Linked DNA regions of Arabidopsis thaliana. The protein of the gene in region 1 interacts with the protein of each later gene in a pairwise test. Each region holds a gene or a part of one and is shown on either strand. Other genes may lie near its edges. The genes, in order: IRX15 and UMAMIT27.

Region 1 (6,375 bases):
ATCTCTAGCCCATTCTCTTCCTTTGACCTTTCTTCTTCTTGCCTCATTGCTCTTACCCAATCCAACATATCGTTTGGCTCCATAATCGGTTGCCTCGAAGCGGTTTTACCGGTCAATAGCTCTAAGAGGAAGACCCCGAACGAGTAAACATCGCATTTCGACGTGGGACGACTATCTGTTGATTTCCTTATCTCTGGTGCTTTATAGGAAGAGATGTCCGGGTCATTGGGAGGAACAGATGAGTCTGTTAAGACACTTAAACAATAATCTGTGACACAAGCTTCAAAGTCGTGACCAAGGAGGATGTTAGTGGACTTAAGGTTTCCATGGAATTTGGCTGATGATTGGTGAATGTAATGTAATGCTTGAGCTACATCTTCTGCTATCTTCAAACATGATGTCCAATGTAATGGCTTTGCCTTTGATGTTCTCGAACCTGGATTTTATGAAAACGTAATTGAGAGATCAAGGGATAAAACAGAGTCATTAGTTAGTCTATTCATATCAATAACCACAAGATAAAAAAGAAAAGACTCTTTTACTATGATGATTCAGATGATAAGTTTAGTAATGGATGTTTGTTTATATACACTTCCAATCATAAACGAGTAATATGCAACCAAGAAGCCACTCTAGCTCAAGTCCTAAGACAAAACACACCAAATTCCTGACAAATGACTAGAGTTTCACGTGAAAATAGCACAGATTCCTAACAGATTCTCTGTCTTATATCTACAGTTGTTCAACAAAGAAAAAGACAAAACATATTTTAATCATAAACTCCGTCATTGTCTCTATGTGGTCAAGTCTAGAGTTCCTTCAAAATAATAAAAGCTGCACCAAAACCCATCAACGAGACAAAGGTTTCAGCTTTATAATGGAGACAATGGTCTCTATCATAGTATCACCTCAATATGATCGAGACCAACATAATAATTACTTAATTAACTAGACCTAAAAAAGCAACAACTCTTACGTGACTCAGTGACTTCAACTAAAACCCTAACGTTCCCAAGAGAAAAAGAAACAGAGGAGAAGAAGATGAAGAACATTACCATGAATAAGATTGAAGAGACTTCCATTAGGTTGGTACTCATAGATGACAAGTCTCTCTCCATTTGACTGGAAATAAGCTTTAACCGGAACAAGATTCGGATGCTTAAGTCCACCAACTATCTCCATCTGATTCTCAAACTCTAAATCACTAGTAATCGCTGTTTTCGACGGAGCAAATCTCTTCACCGTCACGATCATTTGATTAACCATCACCGCTTTATACGTTGTACCTACTGATCCTCTTCCTAAAAGCTCTGCTGAAGCTCTCATCAACTGGTCAACTGTGTACATTGCTTCTCCTCCTCCTCCTCCTTCGCCGCAGAATATCAAATCTCCGTTTCTTGGGATTCGCTTTTTCGACGACGGCGCAGTGGTTTGAAATTGGATCTTGATTTCTTTGTTTTCTTCTTCTCGCTTAGGTTGCGTAATTATCACGTCATCGTAGTCTTCTCTCCGGTTTTTTATAAACAACGAGAACACGACGAGGCAGAGACCTAGAACTATCAAAGAAGCGAGACCAATGGTGAAACCAAGAACTAACCAACCGTTTTTAACCTTTTTAACCACCGGTGGAACAATCATCGCTGCTTCACCGTTCTGTTCACTTTGAATAACCGGTGCTTCAGACGAAGAAGCAGAAGATGTTGATGACGTGGTGTTTGGTTTAGGTGAACCAAAGAACGGAGAAGAAGAATGTAAACCGCAAGATCGGTTAATGATCTCACCGCAGAGTCCAGGGTTTGACGAAAACGAAGACGCGTTGAATCGTAACAGAGTCTTTGTTAACGGAACTAAACCGGTGAGGTTGTTACTGGAAACGTTAAATGAAATCAGAGAAGAAAGATTTAACGGCGGGAGAGTTCCGTTAAGTCGATTAAACTCGAGATTTAAAGAACTGAGTCGACTCAGAGCATTGATCCCCGACGGAATCTCACCGGAGAAGTTGTTAAACGATAGATCAAGTTCTGTTAACCGACGAAGAGAGAGAATTGAAGAAGAAAGAGTACCGGAGAAACCATTCTTGCTTAGGGTTAGGGTTTTGAGATTGACGAGAGGAGATAGATCAGGAATCGAACCCGAGATTGAGTTATTCTCAAGGCTAAGAACACGAAGCTGATCAAGACGACTAAGAGTCTCCGGTGAGAAACTTCCCCGGAGACCAACACCGTCGAGGATAAGACGAACGACGCGATCTTGAGAGCAATCGACGCCGCGCCATTGACAGTAGTCGTAAGGCTCGGTGAGAGAGTATAGAAGCTTGTTGTCGAGATCAGCGGTGGATTTGAAGGAGAGAAGTGCGACGGCGTCGGATGGTAAGAAGGAGTCGAAGTAGTTCGTCGCCGGGAGAGAGGCGGTGGAGATACGGAGGAGGAGGAGAAGGAAGAGAAGAGAGTAGAAGAAGAAGAGTGTCATTTTGTGTGTGTGTTTTTGTGTTACGGAGCAGAGCATCTAGCTGTGTCAGTTATTATTCTGAAAAGTTTTGAAATATGTTTAATCTTGTGGCACGCGTGTGTATGTATATTATGTGTTGGATGATTTTTTTATGATATTATGAAATGAACTCGATTTTAGTGAATTATATACATAAAAGAACTCAAAAGATTAAGAAACGATCGGCCCTTAATGTGTATTTCGAAACCGTCCATGTGTAACGTGTTCATATGATATGATTTGTTGTGGTAGACAATATAACATATAAGACTATAAGTAGACAATGACAAGATGAAAATAAACACGAACACGAGATAGAAGCATAGCTTGTTTTGCAAATTATACCTAACAAAATTGGATCGTAGTTGTATAAATTTTGTATTGGTACAAAGAAAATGACATCGTACGTTCACATTTGTTCTTCTCCACGCATTAATATCACATTTGTTCTTTCTCAACGCATTAATATCATCTCTTAACCATCGGCATACAAAATAATATTTATGCGATTACATTTATCGGAGGGGTAGCATTGGGCTTGGCAAGTGGCAAGGTGTTTTGGGTTTTGACCTCAAAATTTTGAATGGGCCAAACCTTGTTTTTTTTTTCTCAACAGAATAAGCGACATTTAATAATTGGGTTCTTATTAACGTCTTTCATGAGGACCACCAATACTCCAGTAGGGTAAGCACTTTAGCCCAAAGGCAAACATGGTGAGGAGAATCAAAATGGAGCTTATCAATAAAGTGATTAGGAACAAAAGAGAAAGAAAAAAAAAAATTAGATTGATTATCATCGCAATTGTTAGATTTTCATTTGTTGTAAGTTGTAACTAAAAGATGACCAATAATAGTATTTATTCAAATAAATTTGGATTCACTTGATTAGAATTGTGGTAGAAAGTATAATTTTCCCCTTGATAATTATTATACAAACTAATATATGTTTTATTTTGTCTTAAAGTAATAAGGGATTATGAACTAACTCCTTTTTTTAATTCCCCTGCAACTTGTAATACGTATTCTTCGGAGTTTGTTTTTCCTCAAAATTTACGAACATAAGTTATATAATGTATACTTATCAATGTCCCAATCCAATGGGTAGTCAAAGACAGCGAAATGATTTTTAATTGTTATTTTATATAAAATAATAAATTGTTTTCATGTTTAATCTGTGCGTGTGTGTATCTCGTTGTTTTGGTCTGTTTCCTTAAGAACTAAACCAAAGCAATAAGGGATAGAGACTTTTGGTCTGTAATTAGATCTTGTGTCTCTCGCAATGACCAAAACTCTCCTACTTAGACATACAACAACCTCCTCACACATCATCGTTTATATATTTTAATATCTTTTTTACATAAACTATTGCAGCTAATTTCTGTTTTCAAAATATCAAGCTATACTTTTGGTTTGTTTCACAAAGCTATACACTCTTTGGGGAAAAACTAGTGTATAATGAATTACAATTAAATCCATAAATAGCGAATTAGCGATGGACGTCAAACCAAGTTGTTTCCAGCTTACTAACTTAATCATAATCGAGTAATTAAGAACCTAAAGAAAATTGAATTTTAAAGTTTCCACCATTCCATTTTGATACGTTGCGTTTATATAAATATAACAAATAATTCAAGAAAAAATGGATTCCCAAATAAACACTTCTTTAAAAAAATAAAAGAAATTAACTTCCAAGATTTTAACTTCTAGAACGTTAGTAAAAAATAGTACATCACAATGTTTTATTCATTGCTCTATTAGGTTAACACAAAATTTTGCTTATAGCTCACATTTCGTAAAACAGCTCACTACTTACTTCCTTTTAAATCAACCCTCATTTTTATCCCTTTGAGAAATCTTATAACCATCCTTCAATCTCCTTCTTCCTCTAAAACTCTTCTAAAGAAGAAAACAGAGGAACGAGAAGAAGAAGAAGAGTGAACAATGAAGAACGGATCAGGGAACACGAACACAAAACTAATCCTTCTTCATCCTTACATCCAAAAACAAACGAGCACGACTCGTTTATGGCTTCTCGCTTTCGTCTCTTTCTTCACCATAGTTTTTCTCCTCACTCTTCTCTACACTAGAGACACAATCCCTTCCAAAAACACCTCCGTCGCCGCAGCCGTAGCTGCAGTCGTCACCGGAGGATCCACACCTTCAGCATCATCTCCCATCTCCAACTCCAACTTACCAACTAGTGCAATCAACGCTTTGCTTCACTACGCGTCAAGATCCAACGATAGTTTCCACATGTCTTACGGAGAGATGAAATCAATCTCTGACGTCCTCCGCCGCTGCGCTCCACCGTGTAATCTTCTCGTTTTCGGACTCACACACGAGACTCTCCTTTGGAAGTCGTTAAACCACAACGGTAGAACAGTGTTCATCGAGGAGAATCGTTACTACGCGGCTTACTTCGAAGAAATCCACCCGGAGATCGACGTTTTCGACGTTCAATACACGACAAAAGCTCACGAAGCTGGAGAGCTCGTCACCGCGGCTAAAGAAGCCGCGGGAAACGAGTGTCGTCCTGTGCAAAATCTTCTCTTCTCAGATTGTAAATTAGGTCTCAATGATTTGCCTAATCATGTCTACGATGTTGATTGGGATGTAATCTTTGTGGACGGGCCACGTGGCGATGCTCACGAAGGACCGGGGAGGATGTCGTCGATTTTCACGGCGGCGGTTCTTGCTCGGAGCAAAAAGGGCGGGACTCCGAAGACGCATGTGTTTGTGCATGACTATTATAGAGACGTTGAGAGGCTTTGTGGTGATGAGTTCTTGTGCCGAGAGAATCTTGTTGAGTCTAATGATTTGCTTGCACACTACGTGTTGGATAAGATGGATAAAAACAGCACAAAGTTTTGCAATGGTCGTAAGAAACGTTCGGTTTCGTCTTTGTCTTAAAAGTGATGCCAGAAGACTTCATACGTACATTTGCTTATTGTAAGAAATAAAGTTTTTTCCTTGAAGTTTTGCTTTTTGTGCTGGTGTAAATTTTCGATCTTGGATTTATTGAAGACTTTAATTTAATCTCTTTTTTTTTTTTTTTTTTTTCTCAAAGGCCAAAGCAATCAATTTGATGAAACATCTAGGGATATATATAACCAAATGTAAACTGAACTTTTGAACCAAAATCAATATTTTATTCATTCAAGCTGAACACTAAAACAAAATATCTCAAAACTAAAATGCTTTTATGTGTGTGAATAATTATTTATTATTTAGTTTTTTATATAAAATGATGATCGGAAGCATTTTCGTTTTTCATATATATTTTGTTTTCCTTGGCTATAGTTAAGATACGATTTTTTGTTATTCATGATACACCTATTCTAAAATAAATCTTTTTTTTAGTTAAAATTAACGAAATAGAATGTGTAAGATTGAATTAAAAAATAATAATATTAAATTAACTAGAAAAAGTGTGTTGAATACGATTTAGAACTAACATATCATAGATTAAAATAGCATTTATTTCTTGCACCTTCTGTTTACACGGGTTTTATCTAGTTACACTGTTACAATAGAAATTAAAGTTCATTACAAAATTTTGAAACATTAATATTAATAAGTTTCCTTTTTAAGCAAAATTAAACTGAAAAACTTAAGAGAAAAATCGAGCGTTTTTTTTTAGTCCATTTTGATAATTGTTTTTCAAAACCCAAAACTTCAAATCTCGATCCCTAAATTATTTTTCCATTAAATACAAAAAGAGCAATCGAAAGATTCAATGATCTTGACTATATAACAACTTCAAATGTTTTAACCCTCTTAATCATTCATACTTGCGTACAAAACAACTTCACACACATTGCATACTTAGATTTCTTCTACTCACTACACCCATTCTCTTATTAGACTCTAAACTTAGCAACTATTTTAC
Region 2 (18,556 bases), on another chromosome or scaffold:
TGGGTTACTTTGCGTGCAAGAAAACTCTTCAGACAGACCAGACATGTCCTCTGTTGTCTTCATGTTAGGTCATAACGCCATTGATCTTCCATCTCCGAAGCATCCTGCATTTACGGCGGGAAGGAGGAGAAACACCAAAACTGGCGGCAGCTCAGATAATTGGCCCAGCGGAGAAACCAGCAGTACTATTAACGACGTTACTCTCACCGATGTTCAAGGTCGTTAAGAAGTGTATTCCTCTTCTTTATAATCTAAGAAGACTATAGGTATCAATTTATAGTAATACTTGTTATATAGAAAATTATGTGTTTAAAGCGTATGCAAACTTATTTGTATAAAGTTTACAAATACCTAATGAAAAGAAAAGTTAGCCTCATTATACAGGGGATTACATGGTTAGCTTCATTTCTTCTCTACATAACCCGACTTTTATCAACCACTAACCAACCATATTAATAATGATCTCATAAAAATCTTTAAATCAACTTAGAAAGTGCTCACCATAGGTTTGTTTTTCTTAACTTACCAAGGAGCCGACAAAATTGTCTCAAACTCAAACTCCACATCTTCAAGCTCTACATTGAGATCTTTTGCACATGACTCCATCTGACATATCTTTTTCCAGGCTGCATCTTTCTGTTCTTTTTCTGCTTCCTTTTGTTCTTTTAGAGCAGCTTCTTGCCTCTGCAGCTCGATAATCTTGTGTTTCACCTCAAGAATCTTTTGTTCCATGTCATCAAACTCTTGTTTAGCCTTGCTAAATTCATTTGTCATCTCCTTGTCAAAACCTTTTAGTTCCTCCATTATATATAGTTGTCTATCTTTGAGTGCTAACAGCTTGTCGATCCGTGATAATGGAGTTGTAACATTGAAGCCATGTTTCTCGAGCTCCGAAAATGAATCTTTAAGGCTATTTAGTTGGCTTACAGGAACGTCGGCTTCAAGATCTTTAAATTTCTCCAGTAACCCAAAATAAGTCACCATCATACCTATTGCATACCCTTCACGGAAATCTTGCTTAGTCTCAAACAATGGGCTGAAATGAAGACTGTGTGATACACTTTTGAAGACCTCCAGTGATTCATAAGTCTTCCAGACCGGTGACTTCTTTGCAAAAGGCAAAACCATTATTGTGTGTTTTGCATGGTTTTCCTCAGCATTAGAAGCAGAATTCTTCACCACATTGGGGGTCCGATCCGAGGATAACACTGGACAGATGAACGCATACACAACACAATGAGAAAATAAAGGCTTATCTACCAGTAATAGTACAATGAGACCATTGCAAGCGGGTCCTACATTCCAGAATGTGCAATGAGAGTTAAGACATACCAGTCTTATTGATGTATGAATTGAGCTTTAGACCTCCTCTTTTCCTCTTTCGAGTATAATATTTGATCTTAGGCTCCTCAGGCATCTGTGCATAGAAGTGTTAAACCAAAAGGAGAGCCATCTCAAAGATAAATAACAATCATAAACAATACCTTCTCTCGAGTTGACTCATTTCCAAAGCCATTCTTCATTGGCACAGGGGATACCTTTCCTTGGGTTTTGTTCTTTGTTGCAGTTACCCCCAGGGTTATAGGTAAACCAGATTCTTTTTTCTGGAAAACAAAGACCATAGAACAATTTCAGGGCGTAGAAAACAAACAAGGTTATAAAAGAATCCACTAGCAGGGTTATGACCATATACCACATCATCAGCCATCTCATTTCCCGGTGGTTCCTTTGTCTGCACATTTCTGTTGCCGTCTAAAGAAGTTTCTTTCTGGCGTTTTGGCTGAAAATGGAAATAACATAACAACACTTCAATTAATCCTCAAAGATGTCACACTAATTAAACCAAACCAACACAATGTTGCCTGCAACTAGTGATACAATTTACCTTTGTTCTTTTATGCCAAACTCCATCTTCCCACTCCATTGGAGGCCTAATATCAGAGTGATTAAATTGCGATGCCTCCTTTGTTGCCCCGAAACTTACCATGTACCTTCCCTCAAAGACAATTCCCCTGACCACACCTTGACGCCATTCAAAACCACTAAACGCCTCTACATGATCCAGCAATTCATACTTTCCAACAGATAAAGGAGGCTGCATAGGCCTTAGTCTTAGGGAATCAACAATTAAATTTTTCGATTCCCGGCAGCTATAGGACTTATTCCAGTACTTGACAAGAAACCTCTTGTCCTTCTCCAACTCCTTAATGACAATTACCGGAATCCAAGCACAATCAAATCTCAATTCCACCATTGTCCCGCAACTAAAAACAGACTTGACCAATTCCTTCAAAGACAAAAAACAAACATACAACAACGGATAAAGTTAACAACTTTTTCATGCAAAGGCGAAACGATTTCAAAAAAAACTCATCATACCTTATTATCAGGTCGGATCCATTTGAAGCCGGTCCAATCAAGATGAACCCTCAATTTCTTTTTCTCAAACTGAATAATGTCTGGTGGGCAATCGAAGTAAACCAAAAACTTCTCATCCTCCATTGTTTTTACCACCACACCAGTCCACCACCCATCTTTGAGATAAGCGTCGACCATCAAGCCTTCTACAAAAACGACGCCGTCGTTCACATCCTCCGACGGGACAGGACGAATGAACCTCTGATCGACGAATTCCGTTAAAGGAGCCAAACGGTGTTCATTGAGCTGCGTCAAGTAACGAACTTTAAGCTTATTGTGTCCTGATTTCGTTGGATTATCTTCCAGAATCGCTCTGTAATAAGACCCTTTTAACTCTTCTTCTTCAGAAAAAACTTCTACTTTGTCGTCTTTTCTAATGAATATCATCTGCTCCATCTCAAAAACCCTTGAATGAAAACTAATAACGGCTCATTTTTGCTCTGCTAACCCTAAATCTAAAAAAAGACTTTTCTGCTGAAACCCGAAAACCATAGATATGATTATATGAAGGAGACTTTTTGCAACCAAAACACAGTGCTACTGTGTCTGTGCTTAGTGTCGATATTCACGATACACATCGGGGAAAGTGTGTTTTCTTTTTTTCTTTCCCAATTTACTTTTCTTTTTTTTTGGCGCTTGAAATTATGAGAAAATGATTTAAGAAATTATCAGGCCCAAACTATCTAATGGGCCTAATTAAAAACGGTGTCGTTTCATAGGATCCTCATCACGAAGCAGGTAAGTAAAAATATATCTTATCTTCTCCAAAACTCTCTCTTCGATTTCAGCAATTGCAATGGCTTCCTTCACAACAACTTCTTCTTCCTCGCTTCTCCTCAAAACTCTTCTCCCCGTAAGCCACCTGAATCGTTTCTCTACACTCTCTGGTATCCGCGTTGGCGATTCATGGACTCCTCTGCTCCGGAACATCTCCACCGCTGGGTCTCGGCGTCGAGTGGCGATTGTGAAAGCTGCGACGGTGGATTCGGATTACTCGTCGAAACGGAGCAATAGCAATGAGCAGAGAGAGACGATTATGCTTCCTGGTTGCGATTACAATCATTGGCTCATTGTAATGGAGTTTCCTAAAGATCCAGCGCCAAGTAGGGATCAGATGATTGATACTTACCTTAACACTCTTGCTACTGTTCTTGGCAGGTTCGTTTTCGCTTTCTTATTGATTCTCTTCGTTGTTGAATTAGTTAACTAATAGACGACATTTACTTGTGTTGCTAATGGACTTGTCCTTTGATTGAATCCAATGTTGCGTATAGGAAGATTTGGTTTTTTGTTAGATTAGGGTTTTTGATGATACTTTAGGGTAAGGGTTTAGTGAGCTGAGTAAAGCTTTCAGCTTTAAATTTGCTCTGAAGTTGACCTAGTTCCAGAATTTGTTCTTAATATCAGGTGTAATCTTTAGCTGACTTGTTTTTCGTCTCTTGATATGTGCAAACTTATTGAACATTGCTGCATATTGAACACAAAACATTGGTGTCTGATTTGATATCTAAAACTTTGTGCTCTTTAGCGTAATTATGAATGAAATTAGGGGGAAGAATAGAAGCATCTATTTTTGCATATTTTCTTCAAGCTATGTATAAATTGTAGGTGATTGTGCATGGTTTCTGTTTGTTAAAAACTTGATGTGGACAGTGTAAGCTAGTAATGTATGTAAAAGGAGTGTACAATTGTGCAGAGCATTAGATTGGGACTCCTGACTAGAAATTTCTTGGTATGGCAGGGAACGAGTTTGTGTTACACAACTAATGACTAAAACTTTAGTTTATTTGGTGCTACTCTCTATTTTAGAGAACTTTGATTCCGGTTTACACTATCCTGCTGATGTGATAACCAATTAATGTACTTGTGTCCATTTTCCAGCATAACCAGTTCATCGTGTTTGCTTATTATATGTACTTGTGTCTATTTTCCAGCATGGAAGAGGCGAAGAAGAACATGTATGCATTCAGTACCACGACATATACTGGATTCCAATGCACCATCGACGAAGAAACATCTGAGAAGTTCAAGGGTTAGTTAGTGAGCAAGAAGAGCCTTAGTCCCCTTATTGAAAGTTCGTCGAAAACCTTCAAGATACTGATCGTTCTGTCTTTTCATTATTTTCACAGGTTTGCCTGGAGTTCTCTGGGTCTTGCCTGACTCCTACATAGATGTCAAGAACAAAGACTATGGAGGTAACCCATCAAAGCCTGATTTTAAACTTTCTAGGATCTCTCTCTCTCCCAGTATCCATGTTCTGATAATTGAATCGTTCTTTCTCGGGTTTAGGCGACAAGTACATCAATGGAGAGATTATCCCGTGCACATACCCAACATACCAACCAAAGCAGCGCAATAACACTAAGTATCAAAGTAAGAGATACGAAAGAAAAAGAGACGGTCCTCCACCTCCTGAACAGAGGAAACCAAGACAAGAACCAGCAGCCTCTGATTCCTCTTAAACTATAATAAGATAATGGAGTGTTTGCAAGTTTTGATCTTTTGGTTAGCACTTAGCTTGTTGAAGTCGTGTGTAAAATCGTCTAGTACCAAATGATGATACTGTATCATCACACCTTGAACAATAGCTATTGTTATGTTAGGATGAAATTCAACTTGAACCATTTGTTTATTTAGGTAATGTTCGGTTTTGGTTTGGTTTGATTCTTTGTCAACCACTGCTTTTTCCCCACGTTTTCTCAACACCAATTTCAGACAAGACAAAACAATTGTAGGGTCACACACTCGTCACCAACTCACCATCTACATCAGTCGTCCCTACCTTATCAACACATCACATGGAAATAATACACTACTCTCTCACGGACTTGGAACCAAACATTCCAAATTAGTTTAATCGACAGATCACTGCTCAGCTGAATCGTTTTCTCTCATCAACCGCAGAGAAAGACTTTCAAGATCATCCTTCAAGCTCTCTCAAATGGCCAACTTCTATGAGAATTACCAGAGTCCTTACGATTACAATCAGGTTAATAATCTCTACGATCAAAATCATTATCATTACAATCAACAGCAGCAGCAGCTTGGTTTCGAACCAATGAGTTATAATTATTACAACTGGAATGAATCTGAATCTGAATCTGAATATGTTGCTTACTCTGGTTATGATGATCCAATGAGTTATAATTGTTATAACTGGAATGGATCCGAGTCTGAGACAACCTCTGCATATGTTGCTTACTCTGTTTCTACCATGTCTGAGCCTAAACACTTGTTCTATGATCCGAATCTCTATACAACCTACGAATCTCCTCCTCAGTTTAGTATCTATTGCTCTGTAGCCTCTGCTCTTGACTTCAACGAGCCGGAATTCGATGAATACGATCCCACGCCGTACGGTGGTGGCTACGATGTTGTTGCAACCTATGGAAAACCTCTTCCTCCATCGGTGGAAACTTGTTACCCTTGTTCAACCGCTCCTCACGCTAAAGCTCCCTCTCCTCCTGAGATTATTGCTCCTGTTCCTCTTGGAATTTATGATGGTGGTCAAAAGAATGTTGTCAAGAAACGTGTGTCTTTTGCTGAACCGGTAGAAGAAGTCAAACCAATAGAAACCATTAAAGAGCAAGAACAAGAACAAGACGAAGATTATGATGAAGAAAGTGAGGACGAAGATGATGGTGATGATGATGATGAAGAAGAAGAAGAAGGGGATGAGGAAGCTAAAGAAGAAGAAAAAGATCACAGTTCAAGCTATGGAAATGAGGAATATGAAGTCGTAGATAAAGGAGAAGTGAAAGCTTTGTATGTTCCGTCTGGTTACGGATTAGAAGCGACCGATCTCTGTGAGGTTATATTTGGAGGTTACTTTCCTTGTGTGTTACGTAACAAAAGACGTCAGGAAGATGAACAAGATCGTGGGGCTGCTGTTTCTTGCTGGGAAAGCAACGATTCTGATCCGTGGAAGACAACTTCCGATCACCTTTTCGGGGATTCATATCCGTACGGTTACGAGAATCGGAGCGAAAGAAATCAGTTCGAGGTCTCCTCTTATGGTTACCGGATGTATTAACAACCCTAGTTATCATCAGTTGTGTCAATGTGAGGTAAGAACAACATTCTTTTGATTATTGATGAACCTGATTTTTTAGTATCTGTTACACAAGAGATGAGATTTACTGTTGTATAACGAGGAGGGGTTACTTAATAATAAAACGTCGCACGCAAAATCTATCTTCAACCTTTCTATTTGTAACATTCTCTTTAACACGTTTGTTTAAAATCTAAAATCTTTAAATACTACACTCGATGTGATAATTGATTACTGTATCCATCGTAATTATTATTGGTATATATACATTTCTTTGTGAAAAACACCAAATAAATGAAAGAATTGTATCATGGTATATCTAATATCTATCACTGTGAGTACAAGTGCAGAAGAAATTGTAGAAGTAGAAAAGTCAACGATAAAGATGAATTAGCTGAAGTTGAAGAACACTCTAATAAGTAATAACAAACAATGAACACCATGGGGGTTCTTGATTATCTTAAATGAAAATTAGTACCCGATTCAAAAGAATATCATTTTTTTGTGTTTTTGGAAACTCTTTTGAGACGTTAACATGTTGACTAATAAATTATGTGTAAATATACTTTTTTGCAGAAATTATTTTTGTGGATGTATAACTTGTTTACCTGAGCATGTAAGTATATGGAATTTTCAAAACTGTACTACGTATAGACAATATGCAAATACAGAAAACAAAACAAAATACCGTATTTACACGCGATATTAATAAGGTTCAATGACATGCTACTTCTTAACTAAAACAAAATTTAAAATGATTGATGAAAGCTTTACATGTGCGTCATGGAGGCTTAACTTTGTTTTGAGACGTCTACTTCTTTTTTTTTATTCTTATCCCTTTCCAATTTAGTTATATGTAGTATAATCAGATTAATTCACCATATATAAAACCCTTTTTCAAAAAAAAATAAAAAAAATTATAAAAGTATAATAATTATTGAGCTGTTGGTTATACTGTTTTAATTTCATCGAATACTTTCTCTGTTTTGTTTTAAATGATGATCCAGAGAATTTTGTTTATCTTATTTCAAGTGATGTTTTCAAAAGTTTAAATATATTTGATTGTAACCATTTATATAATAGAATATGTTTTTTACTAGTTGAATTAGTTTTATTTTAACAATTTATATATATAAAATAAACAAAATATTTTTTTTATTATTTCTTAATTTATGTGAAAAACTTTAGATATGATTTAATATGAAAAGATAGAATATATTATATACCAATCTTGTAAATTTATTCTAGAACTAAGTCAAAACCACTAACTTTTCTTTTGTGACAACTTTTTTATAAAAAAAATTTAACATCATTAGAACCACTAACTCAATTGTTATTATATTTGGTGAATTGATCTAATTAGTAGAAGGAATATATATGTCTGCACTACTGGAGAGAAAATGCCCCGTCCATTATGTTCTAAGCCTTTTCTAGATAACTTACTGAATCTAAAAATAGCATCTGCTTTTTGTCCCTACAAAGTTATATGGACAAACTAAAGGAATGAAAGAGTTCGATATACCCAAATGGGGATAATATAATTTTTTCATCAACTTTAAAAGTTCAAATATAGAGCTAATTATACGCATTTATAATTAACAAAAACGAGATAGTGCAAAACAAGATGGATCCAATGAAAAGACAAAAGAGAATAATTAATGGATCGAATATAATTCAAAATGGGCACAAAACAAATTTGCACGCAAAAAGTTATTGAATGAGAGTTGCAAAATCTCATATAGTACTTATTTACTACATATGATTAGTTTATCTCGTTGAAAAGTTCGTGTTTTTTCCTATTTTGCACCAAATTCAACAAATCCTTGAGTCAGTCCAATTACAATTGAAAGTAAAGAACCCAAACTTGAACCTATACGACCAGACGGAGACGGGCATGCAAGTGTTTAAGTGTCATTAGATTACAAATGTTTAAGTGTCATTAGATTACACGAAGTATAGATTTAGATATACCAACTAGCTCGGGTTTGCATGACTTATTTTTTCTCACTAAACTCAGTTACATCATCTCTCCGACTCTCTTTTATGAAAATCATTTTGCTAATTAATAAGGTGCGCGGCAGATAACACGCATGATAAAGCCAATGTATCGGTTTCTCATTTACTCATATAACGTATAAAATGGAAAAGCTAATTCATCGGCGCCTCATGAAACGTGTGATAAAGCCAATGTATCGGTTCTCATTTCTACTATATAATAAATAAATAAATATAACAGTAAATATACACATATTGACCGGAAAAAAAAAAGATTGTTACCGCATGAGCAGTTATATTTGTGACGACTTCTTAAACTTAAGTATCCTACTAATTTTGTTCTTTCATTAGTTAATAATATGCTCGGGTTTGTAGTAGTGCTTTGTTCTTCACAAACGCTTATCCTATATAAAAAGAAAGTTTTTTTAGACCAGAAAAGTAAATAAAATTAAGCTAGTTGTGTGTAGGAACATTCAACTTGTTCAAATATTTGAACTATTTTGTAATTTATAATTTTACATAATGTGGAACAAGATTCTAATATTATTTAAATTGAACTTGACAGCACTAAGTTTTTTATTTATTTATTTTTGATAGAAAGACCACTAAGTTAATATAATAGAGCAATAATTCAGGGGTTTTTTCTATTAAAATGACAGAACCCAAACACAGTACTCTTTCTTATAAGTTATAAATATGGGAAGGGTGGTTGCCAAACTCAAAGTACTTTGGGTCTTAACTCTTTCTAACACACAAACTCACATAGAATTCAAGAAAGAGAGAACGAGGGAGAGATGGGTGAGGATATGCGAGGAGTGAAAGTAGTCTCAAAATGGCCACCGATGATAGTTATGGTGACATCACAAGTAGCGATGGGTTCGGTGAATGCACTTGTGAAGAAAGCTCTTGATGTTGGTGTGAACCATATGATCATTGGTGCTTATCGAATGGCTATTTCCTCTTTCATTCTGGTTCCTATCGCCTATTTTTTGGAAAGGTTTATTGATATTTTGATGAAAATAGTTGAGTTATATATTTTTCTTATGCAAAATTTTCAAAAATTTGATTATATCAAAATAGTTTTTTCATATTTACATAATTAACAACATTTACTACAATTGAAGATTGTCAGAATGCTCTATTATAACATGTAAATAAACACCACTACATGTTACTAATATATGAAGTAGATTGATATTTTCTTTCCCCTAAAGTTTATGTCTTATTGTTAACAGGAAAATAATACCGAAAATAACGTTTAGGCTAATGGTCGATCATTTCATCAGTGGTTTGCTCGGGTTTGTCTTCTCACAATTTCTTATGTTCTTTTGTCGTCCATTTTCCATTTTCCTTTTCCATTATACATTGATTGTTTCCACAGAAGAAAGATTTTCTTTCAAGTGAGCATAAAATCTTCATAAGCTAGCTAAATTGTTTTTAATCTTAGCTTAGTTTTGGGTTTAAATTTGCAGGGCGAGTTTGATGCAATTTTTCTATTTGCTTGGTCTGTCCTACACGTCAGCAACTGTTGCGTGTGCTTTGGTAAGCTTGATGCCTGCAATCACCTTTGCTTTCGCTCTTATTTTGAGGTAATTATGGAACCATCTAACTTCTTTATCATTAAAATAAGTACTGTATTTACTATTACTATGCAATGGGTTCATGCAGGATTTATTCGTATTTGTTATGTATACAGTGCATATAATTTCTTTTGTTTTTTCATCAAGCATATTATACTTCTATATATAGAAATACTCAAAAGAACCTTACTCATAAATTATCTCAAATTTATCATCTAAAAGGTTATATTACTTTTCAGAACTGAGAAGATAAAAGATCTAAAGACCCAAGCAGGAATGATAAAAGTGATGGGAACTCTAATATGTATAAGTGGAGCTTTGTTCTTAACATTTTACAAAGGCCCTCATATATCAAACTCTCACTCTCACCTAGAGGCTCTTCCTCACAACAACAGCGATCACAACACCAAGAATTGGCTTCTTGGATGTCTCTACTTAGTCATAGGAATCGTGTTGCTATCTCTATGGATATTGTTTCAAGGGACTTTAAGCATCAAGTATCCTTGCAAATTCTCAAGCACTTGTCTCATGTCAATTTTCGCAGCTTTTCAATGTGCTCTATTGAGTCTTTACAAGAGTAGAGACCTTAAACATTGGATCATCGACGATGGATTTGTGATTGGTGTCATAATATATGCTGTAAGTTATAATACTATATTATCAGAAATCTTAACATTTTTATAAATTATAATGTAGTATATATGTAAATAATTAAATAAATTTTGGGGTTTACCTAATATTACCTTATTACTATACACGTATTATAGGGAGTGATAGGACAAGCAATGTCGACTGTAGCAGCGACATGGGGAATAAACAGATTAGGAGCTGTTTTCGCATCAGCAATTATGCCAGTTTCTCTCATATCGGCTACTCTATTCGATTTCCTTATCTTACACACTCCTTTATACCTCGGAAGGTGCTCTCTTCGATCATCTCTATGAAATTTTTTGTATAGCTTTATAGATGTTAATGTATTAGGTTCATGCTCGTATTACTAATTACAATTTATTTTGTAACTTTTGCTATACAGTGTGATTGGATCAGTAGGGACAATAATAGGTCTCTACGTGTTCTTGTGGGGTAAGAACAAAGAAACGGAAGCAGACATAACTACATTGTCTTCTCGGATGAACAACGAAGATCAACGAGTCTAGGTCGCCCATTTAATCAAATAATATTGTTGTCATAGAAAGATTCATATGGCTTCATTGTCGTAAATTAGTATTTACTACTGAATACATTTACCGTAAAGACCAGTCATAAATATTTAGATTTAAATTGTGCAAGCACACTCACGTTAAAGACCAGTCATAAATATTCAGATTCAAATTGTGCAAGCAGTTTGTATAATTCATACTTTTCGTTTGCAGATTTATAATTTCGTAAAGAGATAACAAAACAGATTTGTTATAATATTCAAAACTAACCAATATAAAGCATATATGATATATCAAAACATTTCACAACAGATCTGTTAAAAGAGCCTCGTAATATTGTTTTTAGTTTCAAAAGCTCTGTTTCTTGGATTATTTTCGTGCTGATTTTAAATGTGTTGCGTTTTGAGTTTGTAGCCTGTTGCTAAAACAGTAAGAATTTAAGGTCTAGAAAAAATAAAGACCAATTGTAATTAGTACTACTGTATATATATTATGCACTACTGGAGTGAAAATGCCCCGTCCATTTTTTCTAAGCCTTACCTTAATCTAGAATAGCATCTGCTTTTTGTCCCTACAAAGTTCGACGGACAAAATAAAGGAAGGCAAAATTTCGATACCCATATTGGGGAGAAACAACTATATACTAATACAGTATAATTTTTTTCATTAACTTCTATATTGAAATGTATAACAATTATTATGTGCATTATAAATAACAAAAACGAGGTACTGCATGGATCCAGTGAAAGGACAGAGCGTAAAAGGGATCGAATCCAAATTGGGAACAATAAAATGGAGAATTATTGAATGAGAGTTGCAAAAATCTCATATAATTATGATAACTTTTTCCCATCATATCGAATCAGAATTCAATATGACGTGGTCATCGTAGATGGGGAATTCAGTATAATACTTTAGTGTTTATGTGTCATTAGATTACACTAAGTATAGATTATACCGACACTGTTTTACTTCATTTGCATGACACGGGTGATAACGCCAATGTATTGGTGTCTCATATAACGTATAGAATGGAAAGCTAAGGTATCGGTGTCTCATGGAACGTGTGATAAAAGCCAATGTATCGGTGTCTCATGCATTTCTACTAAATATAAAAGTAAAAATAATACAGTAAAGGCAATCGTCATGTATATATCGCAACACTGACCTGAAAAATAAATAAAAAATATTTTACCGCAGTAATTATATTTGCGACAACTTCTTAAACTTAAAGCTAACGATTTAATCCATTACTCAATAAGAATATGCTCGGGTTTGTGCTTTGTTCCCTCCTCACAAACACTTATCTTATATAAAATAAAGTTTATTTTTTAGATTAGTCTTAACCAGAACAACAAAAAAATATATACAAATTAATTAGCTAGTTGTGTGGGTGGGAACATTCAAACTATTTAAATATTTTGACAAAAAAAAATTTTATTATTTTTTTTTACTTTTCACACATAATGCGGAACAAGATTCTAATATTATTTAAAATGAACTCGAGTAGACACCACTAAGTTTTTTTGTAAAAAATGTTTTTGATAGAAAGACAACTAAGTTAATACAACAATTCTTCAACTCAGGGTCTTTTCTATTAGAATTAGAGAACCCATACACACATGTTTCTTATATATATAGAGGAAGGTTTGTGGTTGCCAAACTCAAAGCACATTGGGTTTCAATTCTTTTTAACGCACATACACCAAATGACATAGAAAGAAAGAGAGGACGAGAGAGGGATGGGTGAGGATATGCGAGTAGTGAAAGTAGAATCAAAATGGCCACCGATAATAGTAATGGTAATATCACAAGTAGCAATGGGTTCGGTGAATGCACTTGTGAAGAAAGCTCTTGATGTTGGTGTGAACCATATGATCATTGGTGCTTATCGAATTGCTATTTCCTCTTTCATTCTGGCTCCTATCGCCTATATTTTGGAAAGGTTTGATTTTTTTGATGAAATAGTAAGTTATTTACTTTTTTGGCGAATATTGTGAGAATGCTCTACTTTAACATGAAATAAATATAAACTAGTATTTGTTACTAATATATGAAGTTTAATTATTGACATTTTTTCCTAAAATTTACGTCTTATTGTTAACAGGGAAATAATACCGGAAATAACGTTTAGGCTAATGGTCGATCATTTCATCAGTGGATTGCTCGGGTTTGTCTTCTCAACTCAACATAATATTTGATTATGTTCTTTTGTCGTCCATTTTCAATTTCCTTTCCACATAGGAATTATTTTCTCTCAAGTAGCATAAAATTCATCATAAGCTTTTTTTTTTTTTTTAATTCTAGCTTAGTTTTGGGTTTAAATTTGCAGGGCGAGTTTGATGCAATTTTTCTATTTGCTTGGTCTGTCTTACACGTCAGCAACTGTTGCGTGTGCTTTGGTAAGCTTGATGCCTGCAATCACCTTTGCTTTCGCTCTTATTTTGAGGTAATTATGGAACCATCTAACTTCTTTATCATTAAAATAAGTACTGTATTTACTATTACTATGCAATGGGTTCATGCAGGATTTATTCGTATTTGTTATGTATACAGTGCATATAATTTCTTTTGTTTTTTCATCAAGCATATTATACTTCTATATATAGAAATACTCAAAAGAACCTTACTCATAAATTATCTATATAATGGGTCCGTGTAATTACTATCTTATGCATACAATATATACACATATAAAATTTCTTTAATTTTTTCATCAAAGATAATACTTTTATAGTAATACTCAACAGCATCTTACATATTTTTCATGTTTAATATTTGGAATGAGCCAAATAGGCCTTGGATACTATAAATATATTTATAGCATCCACACGTAAATTATTGGATTTAAGTCGATTTAAACTCCTATTTTCTCCTGTTTTTTTTTTTTTGTTTTGTAACGTAAGGACAAAAACATTTACTGTGTTAAATTATCATATAAAATTACATATCTTTTCAGGACTGAAAAGATAAAAAGTCTAAGAACCCAAGCAGGAATGATAAAAGTGATGGGAACTATTATATGTATAAGTGGAGCTTTGTTCTTAACATTTTACAAAGGCCCTCATATATCAAACTCTCACTCTCACCAAGAGGCTCTTCCTCACAACAACAACAGCGATCACAACACAAAGAATTGGCTTCTTGGATGTCTCTACTTAACCATAGGAACCGTGTTGATATCTCTATGGATTTTGTTTCAAGGGACTTTAAGCATCAAGTACCCTTGCAAATTCTCAAGCACTTGTCTCATGTCAATTTTCGCAGCTTTTCAATGTGCTCTATTGAGTCTTTACAAGAGTAGAGATGTTAAAGATTGGATCATCGATGATAGATTTGTGATCGGTGTCATCGTATATGCTGTAAGTTCTAGTGTTATATCTTCATAAATCTGAATATTTATAAATTACAGATTTTATATGTAAAAACTTAAATAAATAAATAAATTTTGGGAATTACCTTTATATTAATCAAATTAAAGTAGCAACTTTCGGTATCTTCAGATGAAAATTCTCTGTTTCAATAACCACTACAAATTTAACTAGTAATGTTTTTCTTTAGTCTCTGTTATACAAATAATTACTAGACAATCTCATGCATGTTATCAAAAAAATTGAATACTATAACTTGGATAAACAACTCTTACCTTATAGGGAGTGATAGGACAAGCAATGTCGACGGTATCAGTGACATGGGGGGTGAAGAAATTAGGAGCTGTTTTCGTATCAGCAATTATGCCAATAGCTCTCATTTCGGCTAGTCTATTCGATTTCATAATCTTACACACTCCTTTATACCTCGGAAGGTACTCTCTTCTATCATCTCAATGAAATTAAATTCGTTTCTAAATAGCTTTATATATGTAAATGTATGTAGGTCCACGATCATAACACTAATTAAAAAATTTATTTTCTAACTTTTGCTACACAGTCTGATTGGATCAGTAGGGACAATAACAGGTCTCTACGTGTTCTTGTGGGGTAAGAACAAAGATATGGAAGCATAACTACATTGTCTTCTCTAATGAATAACGAAGACCAAAATTAAATATTAGTGTCGTATTATTGTTCTTAGTTTCAAAACCTCTGTTTCTTGGATTTTTTTTTTTTTTTGTGTGTGTGTTGCTTTTAAATGTATCAATGTGTTGCTAAAACAGTCTGAAAGGGTAATTTTATGTGATATGGACTGTAATTTTTCGAAAAGTTCACAAGTGCCATTGGTAAATGATATATAAACTAATAACATCGAGAGGCGCACTATATGAAAAATGGAGGAAGCCATGCCATGAAAGAACGTCGATGCATTCAAAATGAGATTTGAAATTCCTAATTAAAGTTAAGACCAGTTGTATTAGTGTTATGCAGAGTAGTATATTATTCTACTTGGATTAATTCACAGTAAAGAAGAGATATACATAATTCAAAGGCTTATTGTTATTTCAAAGCAAAACATGAAGAGGTCACCCAGTTAAGAAGAGATACATAATAAATTCAGAGGCTTATAACATGAAAAGGTATTCGACAATAGATGAAATGAAAAGAGAAGACAAAGAGTACATAAGAAAGCGCGCACACACAGACACAGACACAGACCAAATTAATAGTTAATCATTCACTTGGGAGGGCGAGTAGCGTGAACTATCCCGTTTTCCTTTAACAGCTTAGTCTCCAACTTCACGAGAGACACGAAAGCAGGCCAATTCTCGGTACGATTGTGCATTTGGTCGCAGTTTGGGTCTACTTTCTTCAAGTAGGAGTGAGCAGCAGCTATGCCGATAGTGTTACCAATGATATCCACAAAGAGTGCAACCTCAGAGGTAGAGAAACTCATCTCCTTTCTATGCATCCACATAAAGATCTAACAACAACCAAAAAAACAAACTTTCATAAATCCTAACACAATGATCTCTAACTAGAAAAGAAATAGAGCGATGAATACAAAAGTTAGATAGATGAGAAAGATACCTGGAGAGCATCTACATGTTTGCCTTCCATGTAAGCTGCTTTGCCGAGCTGACGAGATCCGCCTGGGTGACGGGAACACCCTTCTTCTCTTCCTCCGCGATGATGAATTCTAAGGTCTCTCGGGTAAGAGACCTCAGCTTCTTGAAAATACCACTCTTTGCATTCTCAGCATCACAAGAGGAAGCAGAAGAAGAAGCTCCGTTGATCTGCCTGTTCCCTTTGTTCTCAGCAGAAGAAGAAAACGGAGCCGTTCTCGCGATCTTAATCTCAGCAGAAGAAGAAGAAAACGGAGCCATTGTTCTCGTAAGCGTAGAGATCTTCATCTCTCTTTTCCATAGATGAAGAGAACCTGATGATACCATTCGGCGCAAGGCCAACATTTTCCAAACCCTAATTTTGATAACCCTAATTCTCTAATATATAAAACAATCAAGTTGCCTTGTTAAAATCAGGATATGATCTCTCTTATATTAGTAGGTTACTTACACAATTACCTACATCTTTGTCGATTTGTCAGTTTGACTTATGAATCAGTCTACTAGATTGTAAAAATAAATAAAACGATGAAATGTCTATAATACCCCTAACTCTACACACGTGTGAACTTTTTGAATAGTACTGGACCCGGGTCAACCACACACAGTAGACACGAGCCTTCTTCTTCTTCTCTAAGCGAGTGAAGTAAGCTTACCAGTGGCAGTGAGTGAGCTCTTACCAGTGTTTAGGGTCTTCTGCAATTTTCCTTGTTTTGATCGGGAGCTTGATCAAGACTACTGATGCTGAGATTTACGAAAATTGCCAACGGTCTCTATGTTCCCGGTGACAGTGAAGCTCTTTACGCTTCCAAGTTTCAAGACTCCACTGCTACTTTGACTTCGCCTATCTCGCTGGTACAAGGTCTGTGGAGGTTACAGTATGGGTGATAACCTTTTCCTTCTGCGAGGAAAGCATTGTCTCGGCTTTTACTTTTGTTCATAACTTGTGGATATTGGATAGTAAAGCCTACCACTAATGGCATAACATTCAGGATGCTTCTTGGTGTGCTATGATTTGTTATAAGCGAATCACTCTCGTTGGCTAAACACTTTGAGAAAATGACTCTTAAAATGCTCTCTTGGGCTATACTGGAAACTTGCTGTGTTCAGTGGATCTTCAGGTCCTTGTTGACAACCATTAACAAGCTTAAGGTAAGAATAAAGAAACCAACAATACTTTCAGTCCTTTGATGATTTATAATTCCATAACAGACTAAGGGCAGTGCATATAGATATCTTTCGTACTCATCTGCTTTTTCTGGTCTCCATCACAAAAGCCAACTAGGTAATCATATCAATCTCTCTTTACCGTTTACTCGACCTTTTCCAATCAGGTGCTTCTGGTGTGTCTACTACTATCAGTTTTAGGTCTTTGTATACCTGATCTTATCTGCTACTGAGGCTTGTAAAAGTGATTAAAACTGTGACATTTACTCTAAGAGAAGTAACCTGTTTGATGCATTTCCCTAATATACCGGTGTGGAAAAGTGTAGGTATCTGTACTCAGCTGAAATGGTGGACGATTTTGAAGAAGATGAACTCTCATTGACTGAAAGCGGGTTGAAGAGTGAAGATGGCGTTATTATCGAGATGAATGTCTCCTGGATGCTTTTATTATCATGTTTGGGAATTTACCAAGGGAGAGGTATCAGAATCTATCTTAGAAGGTTACATTTAGCTCAAGCTTGCATCAACATCTTTACTTAGAGCTCTACGGGTTTTAGTGTGTTTGAAGTTTCTTAACTCCTAGTATAATTAGAATCTTCTGCAGCAGACTTTAGAGTTTTGGGATGTAGAGCTAACCAGAGTCGGTTTGTTTAAACTAGAATCTTTTTATGTAGCAGACTTGTTCAGTACCTGAATACCAGTTTTAAATTACCGTCAGATGTTGATCTTGTTGGTAATAATGGAGAAACGGAAGAATAATTAGACGAAACAAACTCTTTAAGAACGTATCTTTCAGTTTTCCATCACAAATTTTCTTACAAGCTACAAAAATCGAACTATATATAACTGAACCGAATTTAAACCGGAGGGAGGGTTTGACTTTGGTCAATCACATTTCCAATGATACCGTCGTTTGGTTTGGGGAAGCCTCGTCGTACAAATACGACGTCGTTTAAGGAAAGCCCTCCTTAACCCCAGTTATAAGCTCAAAGTTGTACTTGACCTTTTTAAAGAAGCACGAAACGAAAAACCCTAAAATTCCCAAGCAGAGAAAGAGAGACAGAGCAAGTACAGATTTCAACTAGCTCAAGATGATCATCCCTGTTCGTTGCTTTACTTGTGGAAAGGTTGATATTTTCCCCTTCGCTTTGGTCTTATTTAGGGTTTTACTCCGTCTTTATAGGGT

Evidence for each region.
Region 2: the proteins of IRX15 (region 1) and UMAMIT27 interact in a protein complementation assay, tested with the Arabidopsis thaliana proteins (one large-scale study listed by BioGRID).

Annotation. Positions count from the first base shown.
Region 1 is NC_003074.8:18,616,693-18,623,067, reverse strand, and holds IRX15 (IRREGULAR XYLEM protein (DUF579)), read left to right. Parts: upstream 1-4,251; 5' UTR 4,252-4,427; coding exon 4,428-5,396; 3' UTR 5,397-5,644; downstream 5,645-6,375. Other genes in the region: AT3G50230 (Leucine-rich repeat protein kinase family protein), read right to left, coding at 1-436, 1,056-2,505. UniProt on the Arabidopsis thaliana protein: Required for xylan biosynthesis, but not directly involved in catalyzing the addition of sugars to the growing polymer.
Region 2 is NC_003070.9:3,844,059-3,862,614, forward strand, and holds UMAMIT27 (nodulin MtN21 /EamA-like transporter family protein), read left to right. Parts: upstream 1-9,125; 5' UTR 9,126-9,258; coding exon 9,259-9,461; intron 9,462-9,699; coding exon 9,700-9,762; exon of another isoform or gene 9,763-9,936; coding exon 9,937-10,053; intron 10,054-10,283; coding exon 10,284-10,683; intron 10,684-10,811; coding exon 10,812-10,963; coding exon of another isoform or gene 10,964-10,988; exon of another isoform or gene 10,989-11,077; coding exon 11,078-11,201; 3' UTR 11,202-11,449; downstream 11,450-18,556. Other genes in the region: AT1G11410 (S-locus lectin protein kinase family protein), read left to right, coding at 1-226; DUF2 (agenet domain protein (DOMAIN OF UNKNOWN FUNCTION 724 2)), read right to left, coding at 523-1,208, 1,333-1,417, 1,485-1,604, 1,694-1,780, 1,886-2,287, 2,380-2,814; MORF9 (plastid developmental protein DAG), read left to right, coding at 3,215-3,576, 4,353-4,450, 4,548-4,613, 4,708-4,880; AT1G11440 (uncharacterized protein), read left to right, coding at 5,360-6,451; UMAMIT26 (nodulin MtN21 /EamA-like transporter family protein), read left to right, coding at 12,947-13,149, 13,312-13,374, 13,537-13,653, 14,164-14,566, 14,858-15,009, 15,135-15,210; AT1G11470 (Pentatricopeptide repeat (PPR) superfamily protein), read right to left, coding at 15,816-16,061, 16,169-16,230, 16,320-16,464; NRPB10 (RNA polymerases N / 8 kDa subunit), read left to right, coding at 18,462-18,497.